Linked DNA regions of Cricetulus griseus. The main gene of each other region encodes a partner of the protein of the gene in region 2 in a complex. Links are inferred from orthologs where the notes say so. Each region holds a gene or a part of one and is shown on either strand. Other genes may lie near its edges.

Evidence for each region. Proteins that work in one complex are often made in the same cells at the same time.
Region 1: the proteins of Pparg (region 2) and Nfkbib are in contact, whole or in part, in a crystal structure (PDB 9CK0), measured with the Homo sapiens proteins. The link is inferred for Cricetulus griseus from reciprocal best matches to the Homo sapiens genes PPARG and NFKBIB. Residues at the interface, in NP_056953.2 of Homo sapiens: Gln322, Thr325, Lys329, Phe334, Leu339, Gln342, Val343, Leu346, Lys347, Leu496, Glu499, Ile500; in NP_002494.2 of Homo sapiens: Asn286, Pro287, Ile288, Leu289, Ala290, Leu292, Leu293, Arg294, Ala295.

Annotation. Positions count from the first base shown.
Region 1 is NC_048602.1:7,100,977-7,111,953, reverse strand, and holds Nfkbib (NF-kappa-B inhibitor beta), read right to left. Parts: upstream 6,645-10,977; 5' UTR 6,566-6,644; coding exon 6,387-6,565; intron 3,881-6,386; coding exon 3,775-3,880; intron 3,692-3,774; coding exon 3,358-3,691; intron 2,275-3,357; coding exon 2,186-2,274; intron 2,103-2,185; coding exon 1,833-2,102; intron 1,108-1,832; coding exon 1,006-1,107; 3' UTR 941-1,005; downstream 1-940. Other genes in the region: Ccer2 (coiled-coil domain-containing glutamate-rich protein 2), read left to right, coding at 560-649; Sirt2 (NAD-dependent protein deacetylase sirtuin-2), read left to right, coding at 6,994-7,009, 7,773-7,819. UniProt on the Homo sapiens protein: Inhibits NF-kappa-B by complexing with and trapping it in the cytoplasm.
Region 2 is NC_048601.1:29,371,198-29,381,388, forward strand, and holds part of Pparg (peroxisome proliferator-activated receptor gamma), read right to left. Parts: intron 5,333-10,191; coding exon 5,133-5,332; intron 1-5,132. UniProt on the Homo sapiens protein: Nuclear receptor that binds peroxisome proliferators such as hypolipidemic drugs and fatty acids.

The DNA.
Region 1 (10,977 bases), on a different chromosome or scaffold from region 2:
AATAGTTCAAAGCATTGGCTGCCCCTCCAGAAGACCCAGAAGATTAAGGGATCCTATGCCCTCTCCTGGCCTCCAGGGGCACCAGGCAGACAGATATGTGATATACAGACACATATGCAGGCAAACACTCATACACAAAATTTTCTTTTAAATTCAATATAACCTCAGTTGGGAGCAGCAATGAAAATGGCCATCACATCACAGATGGGTCACTCAGGGCCGGGATGTAGGTCCATGGTCGAATGTATGCCTGGCATGCACAGGCCCCGGTTCAATTCCAAGCACTCCATAAACCAGCTGAATGGCACACATCTGTAATCCCAGCACGCAGAACAATGGAGGCAGAGGATCAAGAGACCGATGTGGCAGCAAATGTGGACGGACCTCCACGCTGGTTAGGCGGGCAAACGGAACTTTTAGGTTTGTGGAAAGAAAGACAGTAGCCATCACTGACCATGACGGACAGCTAGGAAGGGACTTCAAGCCACCAGTGTATGAAGCAGCAGGTTGGAGTCACAGTGGCCACCAAGGTGGTAACCATGTTTCTGATCTCCCCCAGGAAGACGGTGTGGACCGGCTAGAGCACATGGAGGAGCAGCTAAAGAAGGCCACCGCCATGCTGGGGGAGGCACTTGCGAGGGAAGGCTGACCCCACTCCACTCTTCTCCTTTCCTATACTCCCTAAGGCCCAGGGCTGTTGACCTCAGAGCCCCCATTCCATCTGGCAGGGACTGGGAAGCAAGAGTGCACCTGGGAACCAAGGCCGAGAGAAGTCTGAATGGGGCAGGGGTGGAGTTCAGACGACTCAGGACCCCACCCCACCCCACCCTACCCCACCCCACCCCTCCATCCCTCTGAGTGAATAAAGCACAAAGCAAACCCCACGGCTCACACAGCTTTGGAGGAATGGGACCTGAAATAAGCAGGAAGGCACTATCAGTCTGGGCTCTGGCTTCAGGTCTGAAGCTTTATTAAATGGAAATTATATTAATATTAGAAATTAAGTCAGGCGGGGTTGGAGTCATCAGGAAGAGGTTTGGGTGCCGGGGAGGGAGGTAGCCAGTTTTGGCTCCTGCCACTGTGGACCACAATGTCGTCATATTCATCCTGGGGACAGAGAGGGATAACACAGGGGTCAGGTAGCTGCCACCTTGCCCACTGCCCAGGGCACGGCACTTAATGGGGTCTCCCTCTGACGCCTGTGTCCCCTTGCCCCTCCGATATGGTTCCCACTCAGTGCACCTCCTCTCACGCTGGAGGTCCTGGTTCTCAAGACCACCTTCCCCCATTACCCCTGTGGTCCAGCCTTACAGTGGCTCTCTCCCGTCTCCCCTCTGCCTTCACCCACCCTCAACCCTCTTCATGCTATACCAACCCCTACACAGGGGTGTGCCGTTGTCTGGGTTCTTCAGTAATGCTCCCTGCACCGCTGCCTGAGGTCTTTCTCTACCATCAGTGTTCTGGCCACTCTGACCAAGGTCACCTACCTACAGCCTAAGTTCGGCAATCCTGCTCCCAAAGTCACCTCCGATGCTCAGACCCTCCCTACCTGTGTTCGTGACCACCTCTGGAGGAAGTCTAACTTGGCTCGTCTTTGTTCTTTGGCCTTAAACTCACAGACATCCACCTGCCTCTGCCTCCTGAATACTGAGATTCAAGACTAATGGTGTGTGCCACCAGGACAGATTGCCTTAGCTCTTCAGCCACCACCGCCACCCTTGCCCAAGTCTATAAGTTTCTCCTCATCTCACGTGTCCCTTGTCTAAGTCCCTGGGAGCATCCGCCACGGTTTGCCCTGACCCCTCCCGTGGGGACGCCCACTCCTCACTCACGCCCTCATCTCTGCCGTCACTGTCACTATCGCTGCTGCTGCTGCTGCAAGGGCCGAGCTTATCATCCTCATCCTCAGGTTCAGGGGCTCCATGTGCACGGAGGAGGCGGGCAAGGATGGGATTGGGCCGGAGCAGAGCACTGCCAAGTGGGGTGCGGCCCCCATACATGCGGGCGGTAGGGTCAGCACCAGCCTTCAGAAGAAGCTCCAGTACGTTGGCTGCCTGGGCTTCTACCGCCAGGTGCAGAGGGGTCCGGCCACACGTGGGCTCCTGTGGGATATGCCAGATCAGTCAGGGAGACCAACCAAAGACGGGAGGGTGCCTTCACACACTGGCCCACCACAGTGGCTCACCGGTTTATTGAGGTCAGCTCCAGCATCCCTGAGCAGCCGGACCATCTCTGCATCTTTGTGGATGACAGCTACATGGAGTGGGGTGTGGCCTGGGGACAGAGCAACCAGTGTCAGATAAACTAAGGCGCCTCAGCTCTGTCACAACCCTAGGGAAAGGCCACGTGAGCTAAAGATACCAGGTTTGGGGGCTGGCTCCCGAATTCCAGATGCCTAAGTCTTGGGTGTCAGCATGCTGGTGGGTGTAAGCCTGAGTGGTACAGTATCTGGGATCTACAAGGGATGAGTCTGGGCACATAGTCTGTGGACCAACAGGATCAAGTCTTTGGTCTTCCTTCACAAAGAACAGGGGCTTGACGAGCATGAACAGCTCTTAAATTCCATCCCCAGCATCATAAATAAAACAAAACAAAACAAAGCACAATAACAAAAGGAGTTGCACAAAAGACCTGGGACACTGGCTACCAGATGACCTTAGTTCTTTTCCCAGGAGGCCTGACTGAGGAGGGTAAGCTCTGCACCATCTGCCCATGGCTCGGAGCATGAGATGGGTCCTCCCATCCTGGACAGGCTGGGCTAGTGGCTTATACTTGGGAACAGTTCTGGAACAAAGGCACCTTGCAGATGGGTAGCCTAGGCTCAACCACTGTATCCTGGCATTTCTGGCTCTGTGGGTGGCAGGTCTGGGCTGCAAGTAGTTTGATGACCAGATCTGGGAAAGAGAAGCCCTGTCTGTCCAATTCTTCACACTCCCAGGCTGAGTGGAGGTCCTTAGTCCCAGTGCTGGGATTCCTGGAGCCTAGGGATGATTTTGCTTTGGGGTTCTTTTTGAAACAGGGGCTCACTATGCATCTAACATGATCTCATGATGTTTCTGCTCCTGGCTTTTGTCACCCAAGTGCTGGGATCACAGCTGCACACGGCCATACCCTGAGATGGGACAGGGTCTCCTGAACCTAGATTGGCTTCAAACTACAAAGCACCAAAGACAACCTTGAACTCCTGATCCTCTTGCTTTCACTTCCCAAGGGCACCACCATGCTAGGTTATGCTGGGAATCAAACCCAGGGCTCTATGCCAGCGGCTGTGTTTCAAGTTGGGTAAGAAGAGCAGGTGGTTTGTTTCCCTGACTCTGGCCAGGGGCTCTCGTCCTTCCCAGGGCCCAGGGCCCTCACCCTCATAGTTTTCAGCTTCTAGCTGCAGCTTCCAGTCTTCATCACTCGGATCCTCTTCGATCTCTGGGTTGGGTTGAGGGTTCACAGCAACAGGGGTGGGGCCGGTGTCTGTGGTATTGTCCTGGCTCTGAGTGAGGTAGGTATCTGAGACATCCCTTGGGCGTCTGGGGCGGGGCTGGAGCAGCGCGCATGCGCACGTGTGTGCCCTCACCCGGCAGGCCAAGTGCAGAGCGGTGTGGCCCCCTCGCTCAGCCACCAACACTCCGGCGCCAGCTGCATACAACTTCTCTACCGTGGATGCCTCCCCCAGGATGGCTGCTAGGTGCAAGGCTGTCTATAGGGATAGAGGGGAGGGGTTAGGGCAGCACTGACAATCCTGGACCCGGCTCCCTAGGGGGCCCATCCCCAGTGGCTCACTTGGCCTAGGTCATTCTGCAGGTCCAGGTACTCAGTGCCGGCGGAGAAGCCCAAGAGGAAATCCAGGAAGGGCTCATGCTGATGTATCACGGCCAAGTGCAGGGCCCTGGGGACAGAGGCAGAGGTCAGTAAACACGAGTGTCTACTGTATGCTGCAAACTGTAGCCATAACTGGAAACACTTCAGTGTCCCGGAGAGCCAGGGACAGGAGCGAATCCAGCAACTTCCTTTGTCTGCCTGATTGGTGTTCTGAGATAAGACAAGGGTCTTCATAAACTACCCAGGCTGATCGGGAGTTCAAGTTCTTCCTGCTTCGGCCTCCCGAGTAGCTGGGCTGACAAGCCTGTGACAGCAGGTCCAGCTACCAACTTTGTCTTACCAGTGTTTATTTTAAAGAATTTAGCTACCTGTAGTAGCTCAAATTCCAGCACCTGGGGAAGGTGAGGCAGAAGGATTGTTACTTCAAGGCCAGACTGGGCTACATGGTAAGTTCTAGACTAGCAGGGCCAAATACTAAATAGTGCAATTCTGTCACAAAAAAAACAAAGCCGGGTGTTGGTGGCACACGCCTTTAATCCCAGCACTCGGGAGGCAGAGGCAGGCGGATCTCTCTGAGTTCGAGGCCAGCCTGGTCTCCAGAGCGAGTGCCAGGATAGGCTCCAACGCTACACAGAGAAACCCTGTCTCGAAAAAACAAAACAAACAAACAAACAAACAAAAAAACCAAAAAACAAAACAAAAGCAAAAACAAAACCAAAAATGGTGGCTTGTGTGAAAGAGGCAGAAGCTGGTGGATCCCTGTGAATTCCAGGCTAGTCTAGTCTGCATGGTAAATTCTAGGTCAGCCAGGACTACATTGTGAAACCTTGTTTCAAATAATAACAACAACGTGTAGAACAATTGAGGTAGACAGTGAACACCAATCACTGGCCTCCAAACACAAGCATACTTACATACACAAAGACAAACAAACTGGGTATGAGAGCCCTAGCCCCAGCTTCTAATTTTAGTACTTCCCAAGCTAAGGCAGGAGGATCACAAGTGTAAGGCTACACAGTGAAGGCCTGACTCAAAAAACAAAATACAAAAAAAGTGGAAAACTAGGGCAGGGGCTGGGATGTGGGTTGGGGGTGCACCTGCCTAACATGTGCAAGACCTCAGGCTTAACTGGCAGCAACACACACACACACACACTATGGCTCCAATAACAAACCTTCAAATTACATAAAGCAGCCAGGTGTTGGTGGTACATGCCTTTAATCCAACACCGGGGAGGAGAGTTCCAGGCCAGCCTGGTCTACAGAGAGAGGCTCCAGGACAGGCTCCAAAGCAATACAGAGAAAATCTGTCTCGAAAAAAGCTAAGGTTCTCCGGCCAGCTAACCTAGCCGATGTGTTGAGTACTGGACCAGTGAAAGACTGTCTCAAAACAAAACAACCCAAGGTTATCCTCTAGTCTACACACACACCCTGGCTGAGTATAATGATGCATACTTTAGAGGAGGATGAAAAATTGAAGGCTATCCTCAGCTAAACAGCAAGCTCAAGGCCATCATGGGCTACATGAGACTGCCCGACCCCCCCAAAAAAGGAAGGAGGAGAAAGAAAATTACAAAATTCAAATCTAAAAGTAATCAGAATAAAATAATAAAGGAACAAGGACCAATAACATAGAAAGTGAAAAATAAGAAAATTAAGGAAATTACACCTGGTTCTTTAAGAGTGCTTATTATGTTCCCTTCATGGGTCAGGCACTGAGTCATTGGGCACACGCAAAAAGCACAAAGGACAAAAAATCCCGGGTACAATCCCTTGCATAGCCCTTCACCACAGCTGCCCTTCTCCCCAGTCAAATTTTACAATTATTTTTCAATCTCCCTCTCCTTTTTCCCCTCTTTTTCTTTTCTTTTCTTTCCTCTCTCTCTCTCTCTCTCTCTCTCTCTCTCTCTCTCTCTCTCTCTCTCTCTCTCTCTCTCTCTCTCTCTCTTGTTGCTGTTGTCGTCTTGTTTTTTGAGACAAGGTTTCCCTGTGTAACTAACTACCTTGGCTGTCCTGGGACTCACTCTGTAGACCACGCTGGTCTTGCACTCACAGAGATCCGCCTGCCTCTGCCTCTGCAGTGCTGGGATTAAGGGCGTGCGCCACCACGGCCGGGCATCACTTCAATTTCTTAATTGCAAATCAATGCTGGAAGTGTCAAGAGTCGTAGACTCAGGGCCAAGGACTAATTTTGGGAATCAAAATCTGGCTTATACAAGAGTAGCTACGGATCAAAAGCCACATTTGGAAGCAAGAGGTCAGAATTCGTGGGAAAGGTCTGGGGGGACCGGGTTGGAAAGGTTCAGATGCGGTATGGGGACCCATGGTAAGGATGCGGATTCCAGGAGCACAAATTTACAGTTCCAAGAAAGGCGAGACGCTTGACCGTGGGTGAAACCAGACTCACAACTTAGGATTGGGGGTGGGGGGAGTTATGTATGGGTCAGGAAGGCTCGTATCGGAAGTCAGGGGTAGGAACCAGAAGGTAGTAAGTAAGTCACAGAATCACAAGCCGATGGAGGCTCAGGTAGGATCCCGGGGCTCCGTTTGGTAGGTAATTTAAGGTTTACTCACGTGTCCCCATCCTCAGTGACGTAGCCAAAGACCAGGGGCGCCCACGACAACTCCGGGCCCAGCTCTGCGCCCAGCCCTGGTCCTCCGGGAGCCGCCGCGTCGGGACCCAGGGAGCCTAGGCCGCTGTCGCACCATTCGTCGACGTCCGCGCTTTTCCCCAAGCACGCGACCCCGGCCATGGCCCAGCCACCTCGGTGGCCCCCTGTGGTCGCCCGCCCGACGCTGGGCTCTGCGGTGAGCTCCAGCGCTTCCGCCCTGCCGGGAATTCCCCAACACGCCCCCTCATCTACCCAATAAAAACAAGCTAAATGGCTACGCTCCGCCCCCGTGCGTCGCCAGAACCAATCAGGATAATGAGATGCACGCCGGCTCTCTGAGTTTCCCCACTTTTTCCAGACGCCCTTTATCAATATGGCTTCAGGCACCAGGCCTTTTGGGATTTGTAGTTCTATGCCACGAGCGGCTCGTCGCGCGAAAGGGTTTGCTGAGGACGGCGTGGGCTGCCGGGAGTTGTAGTCCTCTGGCCTATCTCGGTCCCCTCTTGCTTCCGGTGCCGTCACGGGACAGAGCAGTCGGTGACAGCTCCGAGGGCCCCCACCCCGCTCCCATGGCCGAGCCGGATCGTGAGTCGGGGGCCCAGGTGGGAGGGTCGGGCCGCGCCGGGGCCTGGCTTTGGGCTGCAGGCCCCGGGGCCCGAGGACAGGCTCGGTGGGGTGGGAGGAAGGGGCTGCACGAAGGGAGTGGGATTTGGAGGGCCGTTGCTAAGTGGTCGGTGTTGCTAGGTTGGTGGGATTCTGGGTTGTGAGATTTCTTGAAGGGTCCGTTTGCCAAGTTCTTAATGATCGCGTTTCTCGCACCTTGGTTGCTGAGAACCCTCGTTGCTAAGGACCAAAGTTGCTACGATCCCGGTTGCTAAGGTTATCTGGTGTTAGGGGCAACTGTAGGATGTTCGGGAACCCCTGCTGCCCCTTTCCATCTCATTCCTTCAGTTCCTGTGTCTCTCCTAAACCTCCTGCCTCCACTCCATCTCCTCTCCCACACTCAACTCCAGCCGAGGTATCCCCATTTCCATCTCTTGAAAAACTTCGCCCTCCCTCTCTCTCCTGGCTGGCACTCACACTACCGCGTCCTGCCTGACTCTGAAGTCTTCCTTCAGTCCTGTCGCACCTGCTTTCTCCTCCTAAACCTCCCCCTCAGCCTTTCCACCTCACACATGTGTCTTCCACTCTAAAATATGCCTGTCCCCGTCTCCGACAGTTTTACTACCGTCCCTGACTCCAGGATAACTAGGTTAGTGGGTTCTCTCGTTGCCTCCACCACTGTGAATCCTTCATCCCTTTAACTGCCCCCCCCACTGTAACCACGTCTGCTCCCCCTCCTCCCCAGCCTCTGACCCTGTGGAGACCCAGGCAGGGAAGGTGCAGGAGGCTCAGGTGAGATGGGGAAACGGGTTGGAGGGAAGGAGAGAGATGGACTTGGTTCCACATTCCACACTGGGGGGAGGTGGCAAGGGGAGGCTTTTACCCAAGGGTCCTTGGCTTATGGGTTCTGGTCCCTAATTCCATCTGGGGATTAGTACAGCCTCCTGGGGAATGGTGGCTTCTGGGGACTGTCAAGGAAAAATGCCCAATATGGTTCCCCTTCCATATTGTCTTCTTACTGTTACCCACCCTTTCCTCAGCCCTTTCTGAACCTCATTTGTGCTGGGCCTGGAAGAGATGGTTTTCTAGTTTGATCCCCAAACTCACAAATTTCATGGGGTGGGGGAAATGACCTTATAGGGTTGCTTATAAAACTGGCACAGGTGGGTGTGGTGTCATGTAGCCATAATCCCAGGGGGCTCTCCAGGATCGCACAGCAAACTCTGTGGGTTGGAAAAGATTCTAGAAGGGTCTAGCCAAACTCTTCCTTTTAGGAACTCACAAGCTGATCTAGGAACAAGACCAAGATGTAGTCACAGTGTCATGAGTGAAATGGTTTAGAATTTTCTTAAATAAGATCAGATATGGTGTTCCATGCAGAGGGTGAGCCCCCCCCCCCGGAGGGGGGCAAGGAGGAGGAGTAAATGTTTTCAGTAGTTGTTGCCGGGATGGTGTACTTTAGGTGCATAACCTCCATCTGACCTCTCTGGCATCCCAGTGAGCGCCAGGCCTTTCATGGACACCTTACCGATGAGGAACTTGGCCCAGTGTCACTTGAGTAGAGGGAAGGGGAAGGGCTTGAAACCTGTAGGAAAATGGGCCCTAACGACTCTGTGAGTTCAGTGGGGAGGCAGATGAACCATCTCAAAGATGTTTGAAGACACTTGCCAACGCCTCCAGAGCCCCGAGAGGCCAGGCTGTCCTCGTGTACTAGAGCAGTGGGTCTCAGTCTTCCTAAGGCTGTGACCCTTTAATACAGTTCCTCGTGCTGTGGTGACTCCCCTCCCCAGCCATAAGATTATTTTTGTCGCTACTCATAACTGTCATTTTGCTGTTATGAATTGTAATGTAAATGTCTGATATGTAGGATGTCTGATCTTTGGCCCCTGTGAAAGGGTCGCTCAGACCCCAAGCGATCTCAGGCCCACATTGTACTAGACAGTGCCACAACCCCTGAATGCCAGCATGCCCATCGCTGGGAGACCGCTCTTCAAAAGGAGGCAGGTACAGAAGCTGTGGTCAGCAACACCCCATAAGTGCACAGCCCAGCTGGGACAGCCTGCTGTGGGTGTCTATATCTTACTTGTCTGGCTCCCAAAATAAGACTTAATGCCAGACCAAAGCGTCTCAAGGTCAGAAAGGATTCTCAGTGGCAAAGAAGATGTGGGGATGTCAATTGCAGCATTATACAGGCAGGGCAGCCTTAGAAATAGCCCCAGTGGCTGTCGGGAGAGGGAGTCAGTGAACTAAGGTTCACCACACAATGTGTTAGTCTGGAGTCACAATAAAGAATGGGGTGGGGGGCGGGACACTGGAAAGATGGCTCCGTGGCGAAGAATGTACACTGCTATTCCAGAGGACCCGAGTTCCATTCCAAGAACCCGTATCAGGCAGCTCACAAGGGACTGTAACCCCAGTGCCAGGGGATCTGACCCCATGAGCACTTGCACGCACATGCACATAGCACATGATAAAAATAAATCTAAAGAAAAGAATGAGGTGGGTCTGAGAAACACTGTGAGGTACCTTACTCTGGCAAGACCCACATCTGTAATGAGTAAAAACTCCTACAGAGAAAACAGCTGGAGTTCTTCCTGTTTTAACAGCTGCTTGGCTTTGTGTTGGCATGTGTTTATTATGCCAAAGTTCAGGAGGCTGAAAAGGAGGATCATGGGCTAGAGGCCAGCTTGGGTGAAACAGTCAGACTCCCTCCTCAAAGAAAAAGAAAAGCTTGTATGATTTCTTTTTTAACGTCTAAACTTGGCTTCTTTGTTTGTTTTGTGGGTAGGATGCACACACCACAGTGCATGTGTGGTGATCTGAGGACATCTGTTCTCTCCTTCCACCACGAGGAACCCGGGTTCAAACTCAGATTGTCAGGCTTAGTGGCAAGCACCTTCCCCTGGTGAGCCCTCTTGCCAGCTTGTGTGATTTTTTTTTTTTTTTTGAGACATGGTTTCTCTGTATTGCTTTGGAACCTGTCCTGGCACTCACTCCGTAGACCAGGCTGGCCTCAAACTCACAGAAATCCGCCTACCTCTGCCTCCCGAGTGCTTAGATTAAAGGCATAGCTTGTGTGATTTTAAAAGTCGGGAAAGAATCACTTTTTCGAGTCAGGCATGGTGCTGACACACCCCTGCAATTCCAACACCTCAGAAATAAAAGTAGGTGGGTCAGGAAGTGGGGGTCACCCTCAGATACATAGCAAGTTGGAGCCAACCTGGGCTACGTGGGACCTTGTCTCAAAAAGGCAATAATCACAAAAGAATCTTCTTAAAAAATAATTTGAAAAGGAGGTTTGGAAGCAGAGTAAGGAAGGGGTAGTCTGGGGACTTTTGAGCAGTTAGTTGATTGAGTTGGGCAGACTATTTCTGACATTACTGCAAGGCCAGCTCTGGCCTAGCACCCAACTACATACATTTAGTGGCAGATGGTTCTGGAAGTCCTGTTATCTAGGCTGGGCATTAAATGGTGAACATAGATAAAAAAAAAAAAAAGTCCTGTGCTGTGTGGCTGATGATATTATGGCACTTGGTAGATGTTTGTGATTCAGGGGGGTTTTAAAGAAGAGAGGGGTGGACTGCCCTAAACAGGCTACCATAATTGGGGAATAGGAGGATCAGAAACAGAAACTGAGTCAACAAAGCCAGAGCAGGACCCCAGGAGAGAGAACAGGCCAAACCAGGCGGAGCTCTGGGGTGGGGAGAGGGGGTGAATGGAGGGATATTGGAGGCTGAGTGGGTACACTGGAAACTGGCGCTAAGGACAGGGTTGAGTAGAGGGACAGTGAGGCCACTTGGCATCCCTATGGGAGCAGGAGCTGGTTTCGGGGAGATGCTGAGGTCACCTTGAGAGGCTCCCATCTGGGGACAGAGAAACAGCATCACCAGTGACTAGGCTGCAGCCTAGCTGTGGCAGGTGACTCAGCGGAGTGTAGAGGACCAGCCGAG
Region 2 (10,191 bases):
CTTAAGTTCATCTTGGCTACAGAGTGAACTCCAGGTCAGCCTGGGCTATACGAGAACCTGTTTCCAAACCAAACCAAAACAACAAGACCCGGGTTTGGGAAATGTGGGCCTCATTTCGTGGGCCTTCCCAGATATTTAGGTTTTCCAAAGAACATTACATTCTTAGAGCTTGTCTTTTAGATTTTGTCTGTCTTCCTGTTTCTTGGTTTTCATAATGTTAGGCACACACCTTGTCCTCTATGAGCTACAGTTAATGAATGCTAACCCCAAGTACATTGGTTTCCTCAACCTCCTTTCTGTTCTTGCTCCTGTATCTCTGCTGACCCACATGGGACCCACAGAATGCAAAGGCTCTTCTGAAAGCCACATGATTACTCTCCAAGTGTGAAGAGACTGAAAGCCAGGATACTTTGCACAGTCCAAGAGTTCTTTATAGCAATCCCTGACCTAGAACTGGCACATCCTCCTGATTGCTTCTTCTATAATGTTTTCCCCTGGCTTCTCCATGCATTTTAATCCTTTTCAATAAAATCACTTCTCTGGAAAGAACTAGGGCTTTTAAACCCAAGCTCTTCTGTGCTGAGGTCCCCAAGCAGTGACTTTTGAATGATATTTCTTATAGTCAATGATAGAAGTTAAGTGAGAAAGTCTGTCAGATGTAATTATGTGTCCCCATGTGGTTTAGTGATTTAAGACAAACAAATGAAAACTTAATAAGAATTATTCACACTCAAATGAAACATAACCACAGCTCTTAAATAAATTGTTCAATATCAGCCAAGAGTACTGGCCAACTCAGTCCAACAACTAACTAACTAACTTAGATAGATAGATAGATAAAATAAAAATAAATAAAGAAGCCCAACTGCTTTCCTCCTTAACTATGCTGAATAATATTATTGCTATAGTCTGGTACTGGGAGTGGCACCCTGAGTGTTCTATCACTGAACCCAAACCTAGAATAAGAATATTTTTGTTTCTTCTCCAAAACAAAACAAAAACAAAACACCTCACTATTAGTTTAGATCTGTCATACTGTTAGCTATTGCTGATTACTCTGGTCATAAAAGAAATTATTTTATTACTATTGGTAGATGGATCAACAATGCCAGGAACCTAAGTTCATTAGTCTTGGAGATTACTCAGCACTGCTTTCTGCTTTATTCTTACAGGGTTCCTAAGTCTTTCTCCATGAGCTCCCTCAATATTATTTCCTCAGTTCATTCAGGCCCTTCAAAGGTGAAGGGAGAGACTATGCTTTGTTTAACTTTAAGAGTAGGATTTAAGAAGACATCTCTCCCAAGATTTAAGTCAGTATGATGTGATGGCCTCTGTATATTTTAGAAAGCTTAAATGTAAGTGGGCACAGAAATGTTTCCATAGCAGTTTACAGCTCTGTATGGGCTTTATGATTCAGTGGTTTTGTATTTCATATACTATTCAGAATGGTCACTTTCCAAATGGCACCAGTTTGCCCCCGTCGTTACAAGAACAGTGACTTTACATGTGCCTGTCATAAACAACATGATGCCTTGGAACCCAAAGTCCAACACAGTACAAATAAAAAGTTTTATTTCCTATTTGTAGATAGAATACAAACCAGGGCTTCACCAGGCATCACTCTCAGATATTCAGTGAAGAGTTGGCAGGCATACCCAGGGTTTTTCTATTTATTGTTTTATGACAAGCCATGGCACTGAGAATGGTTTTTGAAAACCACTCAGTTTATTTTCATCAACAAACATGGGATCATGTGACCACTGCACTGCACCAACGTGATAGTCAAACACCCCAAAGTCCATTCAGTTATCAAACTGCCTTCCAGCACAGTGTGGGCTTCAGAGATCCATAGGATTTCTTCAGCAAGGGAGGGGCTGTGGTTGAAGCAAACCAGTGGAAGAAAAGCAGGTGGTGGGGAGAATGGGTTCGAGGGTGGCGAAAAGGCATACCACTCCTAAGATTTCTCTAGGGTTCCTGTAGCCCACATCCCCTTGAGCCTAGCATACCCAGCCCATATTTTTGGAGGCAAGATGATGAAAAATATTGGTATCTTATCCCAAAGATATGATGTTAAAGTTGATAGGAGGAGAGCAGGAACACTTAATTTATCTGTTTTGAAAGGTGTGAGTGGCCCAAGGGGATAAGATATAGAAGGAGGAAGTGTAGCTGAGAAGGGGGAGTGGCTCCTGCTGGCCTGGAGGCAAAGGCTGAGAGGGCAGCAGCTGGTGGGTTCCTAACAGGCTATGGTTAAATTGAGCAGTGAGATAAACGTAAAGAATGGCCTCTTCAGTCTGATCATTTCCTTTAGCAAGGGTTCTGGGTAATTGGTCATCCACTACACTGAGCAGCCTCCCCCAGGCTTGGCCTAACTGATTCGATGACATCAGCTGCAAGCTGTGTGTATAATGAGACCTAAGCTGCTCTCCTCATGGCCTCAGCCACTTTCTCACATCCCCCACCATCTCGAGAGGCCACACTTCAGCAAAACTTTCCCTATCAATGCAAATCTTAGCTTTCACAGTCCTGGCCAAGAGATAACATAACACCCCTGAGATAGATGCTATCAAATGAATAATAGGACCATGCTGATAAAGAACAAATCTCACTTCAAATCACATTTTGGGTTTCTCTTCCATATTCTCTACTGAACTATTTCTTTCCATTGGTGCTTGGTTTGATTTCACCAGAAAAGGAGAAAACAGTGCCAAACAATTTGATTTTAGTTCTGTATAATCAGTGAATGGGTTGTTTATATTTGGCTGGGCCTCTTTTTCTTTTTCTAGACTCTAACTGGAGGCAATTTTGTCACTATCCAATCACTAATGATGTCTAGTTTGATGAACAAATATTGGGCTAGTGAAAAGCCCTCTGTTGAAAGTCCATAATTTCAAAGGGCATAGCAACAGTCTTTAATTCAATTAAACAAATAGTCTGAGTAACTATTATGGGCAAAGCACAAGCCTACTTACTTTAGGGAAAAATGACAACCCTTGGCCTCTGAATTGAGAAGTCTATAATCAAGCTTTTGTAGCCCCTTCCTTAAATAGCTTAATAGCTATTTGTTTCACAAAGGGCCTCCAATTATCTTATTTTTAACTCAAAGATTTAGAGCCAAAAAGTCAGTTGGGATGAGGTTTCCAAGTGATTTCTAGTGGTTTGGGCTCTGTGTCTTTCAGAACAATGATAGGACTACATTGGCTACCATTAAATAAATTTAAATTCTTGCCTATTAGGGTGGGCTGGCTTGCACTCTCTCTCTCCTCTCCAACTTAGCTTCTAAGTAGTACTAAATTGATAGGATTTCCAGCATGGATTTCAGGTGTGTGCTGGAGGTAAGACGATAAGAGCCCAGAGCCTGCAAAATGAATGGGTTTAGGTAAAACTGAACTGACTACTATGGGACTCCTTGCCTTTCAGCAACCCCCTCCCCAGAGCCTTGTTCTGAGATCCCAAACTCCAACCCTCTTTGCTGCACCTGCTCTTGGCAAGCTGTTGCAATTTGCCTTCAAGTCTTCATTCTCTTTAGTCATGTGGCTGCAGTCTTCCTTTACTTTCAACATGGGAATGAAGTAAGCTTATTTTCTGTAGTCAGATTAGCTGTGTACAGGTCTTCACTCATGTTTCACTTGCTATGGCTGCCTTTTGTGCTTAGTGGACAGACTGCACTGTACTATGTGTGGTCCTGGGAATAGCATGCCGAGAATGCTCCCAACTAGACGTCAGAAAGCTTACATCATAGCCTTCCGATGTCTATGTGCACATGCCTCTCCACTTCAGTTCCTTCTCCTTAAATGAAGATGGTAGTAAACAATAGCAGCCTTCAGATGGCCCCGTGGCTGGAATGTAAAGAATGTATAAAATACTTGGGAATTGCAGGATCTGGGCCCTTGTGTATCTGAAACTCAACTGTTCTTAGTGGCATGTGGCTCTTTCTCACAGCCATTAGATGACTATGCTCTAAGTCATTTAATTAAAGAGAAAGAGATCACCTGAGAGAGTCAACAAAATATGATTTTTTTTCTAAAATCCAAATGTGTATCAAGTTACATGAATCTACCTATTAGTTGCCTCGATGTCCTGGGCATGTTCACTAAGGTTCTCAAGAGCTGGATCCAGGTCTTCTGCATGGGATCTGCAGCTCTTACTGCCTACAGACATTCTGTAGACCACATCATCAAAGCCAGACCCTGTCTGTAAAAACTGAGGGACAGAGACTCGACCCAGTCATGCTCCCAGCTGACAGTGGAATGGGAAGCAGCATGTATTTTTTCATTTTAATGCAATTTGGTGTTGATTCTCAGCTTCATGTTGGAAGCTTTCTGCTTCCTACAAAACTGGACTCCACAATGATTTTCAACTATTATGAATTTTCTAAACAATGTCGCTTAAGGATCCTTTTGAGGCTTGGGCATGTATCTCAGCTCTAGCACAGGTGTACGTGCATGCTTGAGGCTTTGAGTTTAATCAATATTTAGCACAAACCCCCATAATAATAAAATAAAATAATAAAATATTCCATTGTAGTAGCTTAGGCAGCTTAGATCCTTAGAAAGTAGGATTCATGTATATAATAAAAGGATAGAGTCGCCAGTTTCCCAGGAATAAAGCTTGGTACTGTAAGAACACAGGTTTCATGATACCCTGGGTGGACTTCTGTGCCAACTTTCAACTTGGGAAGAATGACTCCGGAACCCTTGAAAGGTAAAAGTGGGATCCAACACCTTCTACACCTGCTCAGCCTCCTCCACGGCTGCTGAGACACTGTGTCCTCACCAGTTATTTTGACACTGAGCAAAGAGATGGGTCTGGAAAGAGGGTAGGGGCATGAGAGGGCTTCACATTCATTCATGAGCATCGTGATCACCTATGAGTTCGTGTGTTACTCTCAAAGTTTTTTTGTGTGTGTGTTTTTAAAACTACAGCTTGGAGGAGTTGCTCTTTTTTTCAGAACAATGTTTACTTATCCTATTTGAATACATTTCCTGTGTTTTGGACCCAGCCTGCCACAAGATTTTAACAGTTCACAGCTGAGCTATATTCTGCATACACATGCATTCTGAGGCAGATCATTTAGTCCAAGAAAGTACCCCTGGCTCCAGCCACCCCCATGAAGAGAGCAGAAGAGAACTAACTGATTTGTCTGTTGTCTTTCCTGTCAAGATCGCCCTCGCCTTGGCTTTGGTCAGCGGGAAGGACTTTATGTATGAGTCATACAAATGCTTCGCCAGGGCCCGGAGATCAGCAGACTCTGGGTTCAGCTGGTCGATATCACTGGAGATCTCCGCCAACAGCTTCTCCTTCTCGGCCTGTGGCATCCGCCCAAACCTGATGGCTACAGAGGAAGAGGAATGACAGGATGAATCATTGGATCATTACTATGGCTCTGCATTGTGCTCTCCCCAGCCTTGGTTCCCACAGTGTAGGAGCCCCTCCTCTCTCCACCCCGTGCTGGTTCTGCTTTCTATCCACCACTTTGCTCATGTTTTTATTTCACAACAGTAGCACAGAAAACTGAAAATTGAATTATTTACTTCTTCAATTTCAAAAGGCAACATATGATCCTGTTAGGAAATTGGAAGAATCTGTTTAGCAAATAGGAATACACATTCATTCAAACATGAAGTAATTGAGAGATAATTCCTATCCATCCTTTAAGAGCCAGGCTTTCAAGTACAGCTAATTATCTTTTCCCAGTACTCCATCCAATGATCCAAGTGTTCACACTGCACTTTAATTATGACTTTATTTGACTCTTGTCCCTCTGTACTACAATGTCCTGAAGCAGGGACACTGTCTTATTTATCTTGGTAACTTCTGCACTTCACAAAAGGTCAGGTAGGAGGATCTACATGTTTCATGAATTAAGTAAGGAGCTACGAAGTCCCAGTTGTACAAGCACAGGCTCTGTTCTCAGGCAGTTTGTGTGATCTGCTTGTCCCTGATGTGAAGAAAGGATGGTGCTTTATTCCATCTAGTAGATCAGAGAACTTGGACATTGAATGGATGGAGTTGGACTTATCGCTAACTCTGTAGAATTACCCCTTATTGAGGTTCATCAGAAAGACACCTTTATCCTGGGCTTCTCAAGGGGTGAGGAAGTGTGAATGCAAAAGAAAGATTAAAGAGAGACCACAGAGCCTAAGGTGGGAATTAATCTTTGTGAATTGTTGTCTGGGGACAGAACTTGCCTGGCATGTGTTAGACCTACATCTCATTCTCAGAAAATAAAATTAATAATAATCTGTTTATAGGTTTTCAACTTGAATAAATTTTCCTGCCTTCCTTCTGATATCATTTGTAAAAATGTCACTTTGAATAATGCTTTTCTTTGTGGTCATTCTTCATTGTTGTTTTAAAAATATTTTTAAAAAATAAATTTAAAATGGGGGTGCTAGAGAGTTGGCTTAGTGGTGAAGAGCATGTGTTACTCTTGTAGAGGCCCTGGTTTGATTCTCAGCATGCATTTGGTGGCTCACAACCATTTATAACTCAAATTCTAGGGGATCTGACATTCTTTTCAGACCTTCTTGGGCCTTGTGCATGGTGAACACATGTTCTACTACTGAGCTACAGCTCAACTCTTGTTATTTTTATATTATATTCTTGAGACTAGGTCTTGCTGCATAGCACAGTGTGGCCCAGAACTTGAAAATCCTTGAACTAGCATCCTTGGTTACTACCATATCCAGCTCAATTTTGTTTTAGATAAAAGATTGATTTGTATCTCTGAGTCTCATATGTGTAAACTCATCTCAGTTGGCCCTATACTTTATCACTAATAAAACAATTATACTCAATAGAGATGCTTGCCTCTAGTTTACATTAAATCAGAATATGTTTAGATACTTTTGATAAATATAACCTTTGTACATGACCCCTTCAAAAAGAAATCTTTAAACAATTGCCCCCCCTTTTTTTTCAGTCAAAATTGCAGCCTCCCATTATTCTCTTCCATTTTAGCTGCACTGGGATAAGAAATGTCAGCTTACTGAGGGGCCTTCCCACCTGGTCCCCAGATCCACTGGGCTCCCTCTGTCTATGACCTTGACACTACTCTCCTCTTTTTCATAACTCTGGCCATAGTAGTTAATAATAATGTTTTCTCTTTTCCTCCAGTCTGTAGTCTTCATGAAGACAGGAGTCTTGTTCATTAAACTCTTGTTTATTATACTCAGCACTTAGCACTTATAGAGCATTTTGAACTAAAATGAATAAAACACATGTTCATGAAGCCCAACAAGGCCCCACCCCTCTCTGAGGATTGGTAGCTATGGTTGCTTGTAGAGGCAGAGGCATTTTCTTCAGTAGTGTTGCCACTGGTAAGTTGCCCAAGGTCCTGTAAGTAACCCTCACACATGCTTCTGTAAGTGATCCTAAGTAAACTCACTAGGTCACAAAATAAAAGGAGGAGGTAGAGGGAGAGGGGGAGAGAGAGGGAGAAGAGGAAGAAAAGAAAGAAGAAGGACAATGATGACAATAACATGGAAGTAGAAGGGGACTAGCTAGTTTGGAAGAGGAAAGGGACAAGAAAAGGTAATGGAGGTGAATATGATATACATATATGCAAATACCACAATTAGACCCATTAATATATGCAAAACAACAATTTAACAACGTGTAGAAGATCCTTTCATAGTCTCCTGCAAAGCCATTCTTAACCACCACCTCTCTCACACAGAACTAATCATTTGTTTTGTTGTCTTTTTGAGAAATGTGGAAGAAAAGGGGCAGAGTGTATGAGAACTACTTGGGAACATTCTAAAACTACATGTCTCCCGAGGAACATTCTAATAAGCCACCCCAATACCCAAAGAGGGTATATATATATTATATATTATATATTATATATTATATATTATATTATATACTATATATTACATTATGTGGGGTTTGAAAAAGCTTTCTAAATGGTAGGCTTGCTTGTATGCATATATTAATGTGAAGCTTTTACAACATTTCTAAGGGGTTTACATTAGTTATTCTTCTAGAACAGAAGCTATATGAATACCAAGTTTTATTTTTGCTCCTGGGTGTAACAAATTACATATAGTATACAATAAATGTGTGAAGAATTAAACTTCAAAACACCAAGTTTAAAAATAGAATATGAGTCAATATGTACATGAAAGAAAGTAACAATTATGACATTAAAAGATGAAGAAATTGTGGGCTGAGTATATGGGTCACAGTGGTAGAGTATGTTCTTAACATACATGGTAAGCCTTGGGTTTGGTCCCCAGCATAGCAAATAATAAAACAAAATAAAAATAAAAACAAAACACCACAGAAATTGTGAAATAAAATTTGGAAAAAACAATCAGAGCTATTATATAGTGAGATAGAAGTTGCTAGAATCATTTACTGTTTCACAGACTACCCCACACTGTCTTTTTACTTGATAAAAATTATTAAGTGGGGGGCTGGAGAGATGGCTCAGAGGTTAAGAGCACTAACTGTTCTTCCAGAGGACCCGGGTTCAATCCCCAGCAACCACATGGTGGCTCACAACCATCTGTAATGAGATCTGGTGCCCTTTTCTGGTGTGAGGCATACATGGAGGCAGAATGCTGTATACATAATTAGTAAATAAATTTAAAAAATTATTAAGTGACTCTCATATATTACACTGTCCTAAGTTCTGGTTAATTAAAAAACATTTATTTAGTGTGTATGTATGTATGCATGTTGCATGTATAGAAGGCCAGAAGACAATTTGTGGGAGTTGGCTCCCTTCTTCACTATGTGAGTCCTGGGGATGGAGCTCAGGTTAGTGTGGCTAGCTCCTTTATCTGCTGAGCTATCTCACTTGCTCTCTGGTTAAATTTTTAAAAAAGATTTATTTTTTAATGTGTATAAGTATTTTGCTCACACATATTTCTTTGTACCATGTGTGTGAAATGTCTCTGAGGCCAGAGGAAAGCATAGAATTCCTTGGAACTAAAGTTACTGACTCTTGTGAGCCACCATGTGGGTGCTGGGAGTCAAACCTGGGTCCTCTGCAAGAGTAGCAAGTGTTCTTAACCACTGAGATATTTCTTCTCCAGCCCCTCCTATGATTACAATTTTATAGACAAGGAACTATAAACATTCCTGGACATTAACATGCCTAAAGATGCATTTTATCTTTCCTAGTGGGCAACACAACAGCTAATTTAAATAGTTAAAGAAAATAACTTATTACATTGACAGTTCTGCTTTCCTTCACCTAACAAAAATAGCCAAAACCTTACAAAATCACTTTAATTAGGATACATTAAGATAGTGCCCTGCTAGAATCTGAAAAAATGCATATTTTCATAAGTTGAAGTTCTCAAAAAAGGCTAAATCTCATGAATAAATTGTCTGTATTGCTAATTAACACTGTTACAAGTTAGACATAATTTGATCCACAGGCAGATTTAGCATTTTTACACACCAGGGGCTTGGAAAAGGAAGAGACTAGGTCCTGTTTGGTGGTACTAAATCTGAATGTGACAGATCTGAAGTAGAGAAACGTTTTGTTTCTTTGAACAAAACAGAGCTTCATATAGCTCAGGCTAGCCTTGAACTTGCTATGTAGCTGAGGATGAACTTGAACTCCTGATCCTCCCGCTTCTACCTCCCAGGTGCTGAGATTATAGGTTGCGTTCCCATTCCTGGAATTTTTTTTTTTCTTTTAAAGGGGAGAATGCTGGTTGCATTCATTTATTTAGAGTCCAGGTGATTTCAGCTACACCCACATCAGGTGAGTATTGAGCAAAGATACAAACAGGGTTAAGCAAGACACCTGTGCAAGCTCATACTTCCTGTCATGGCTTTTATGTTGGGGATGAAGTGGTGTGGGACTGTGCTTTTTGTGGGTTACAGGTCAGATTGGCAGCCACTGCTCCCCCAGCAGATAAAGATAAAGAGAAAGTAGCAAACCCCAACACTTAGTTAATCTCTTGGTCTCGATTTTTTTTTAGAAGTTGTTAGGTATTAGTGTTTTTAACTCGGTAATTTTTTTAAAATTTATTTTTAAGATGTGATAAGGGTGGAACCCAGGGCCTGGTACATGCGGTAGAACAAGTGTTCTACCAGGGAACTAAATTATCAGCCCAGTTCCCACCCTGTGAATGAAGAATCAAAGGAAGACATGGAAGTTGGGCAGCTGTTTCCTAGAAGATTGAAGTTAAAGCTCAGAAATAAAGATGGTCACTATGCATTGGGGAC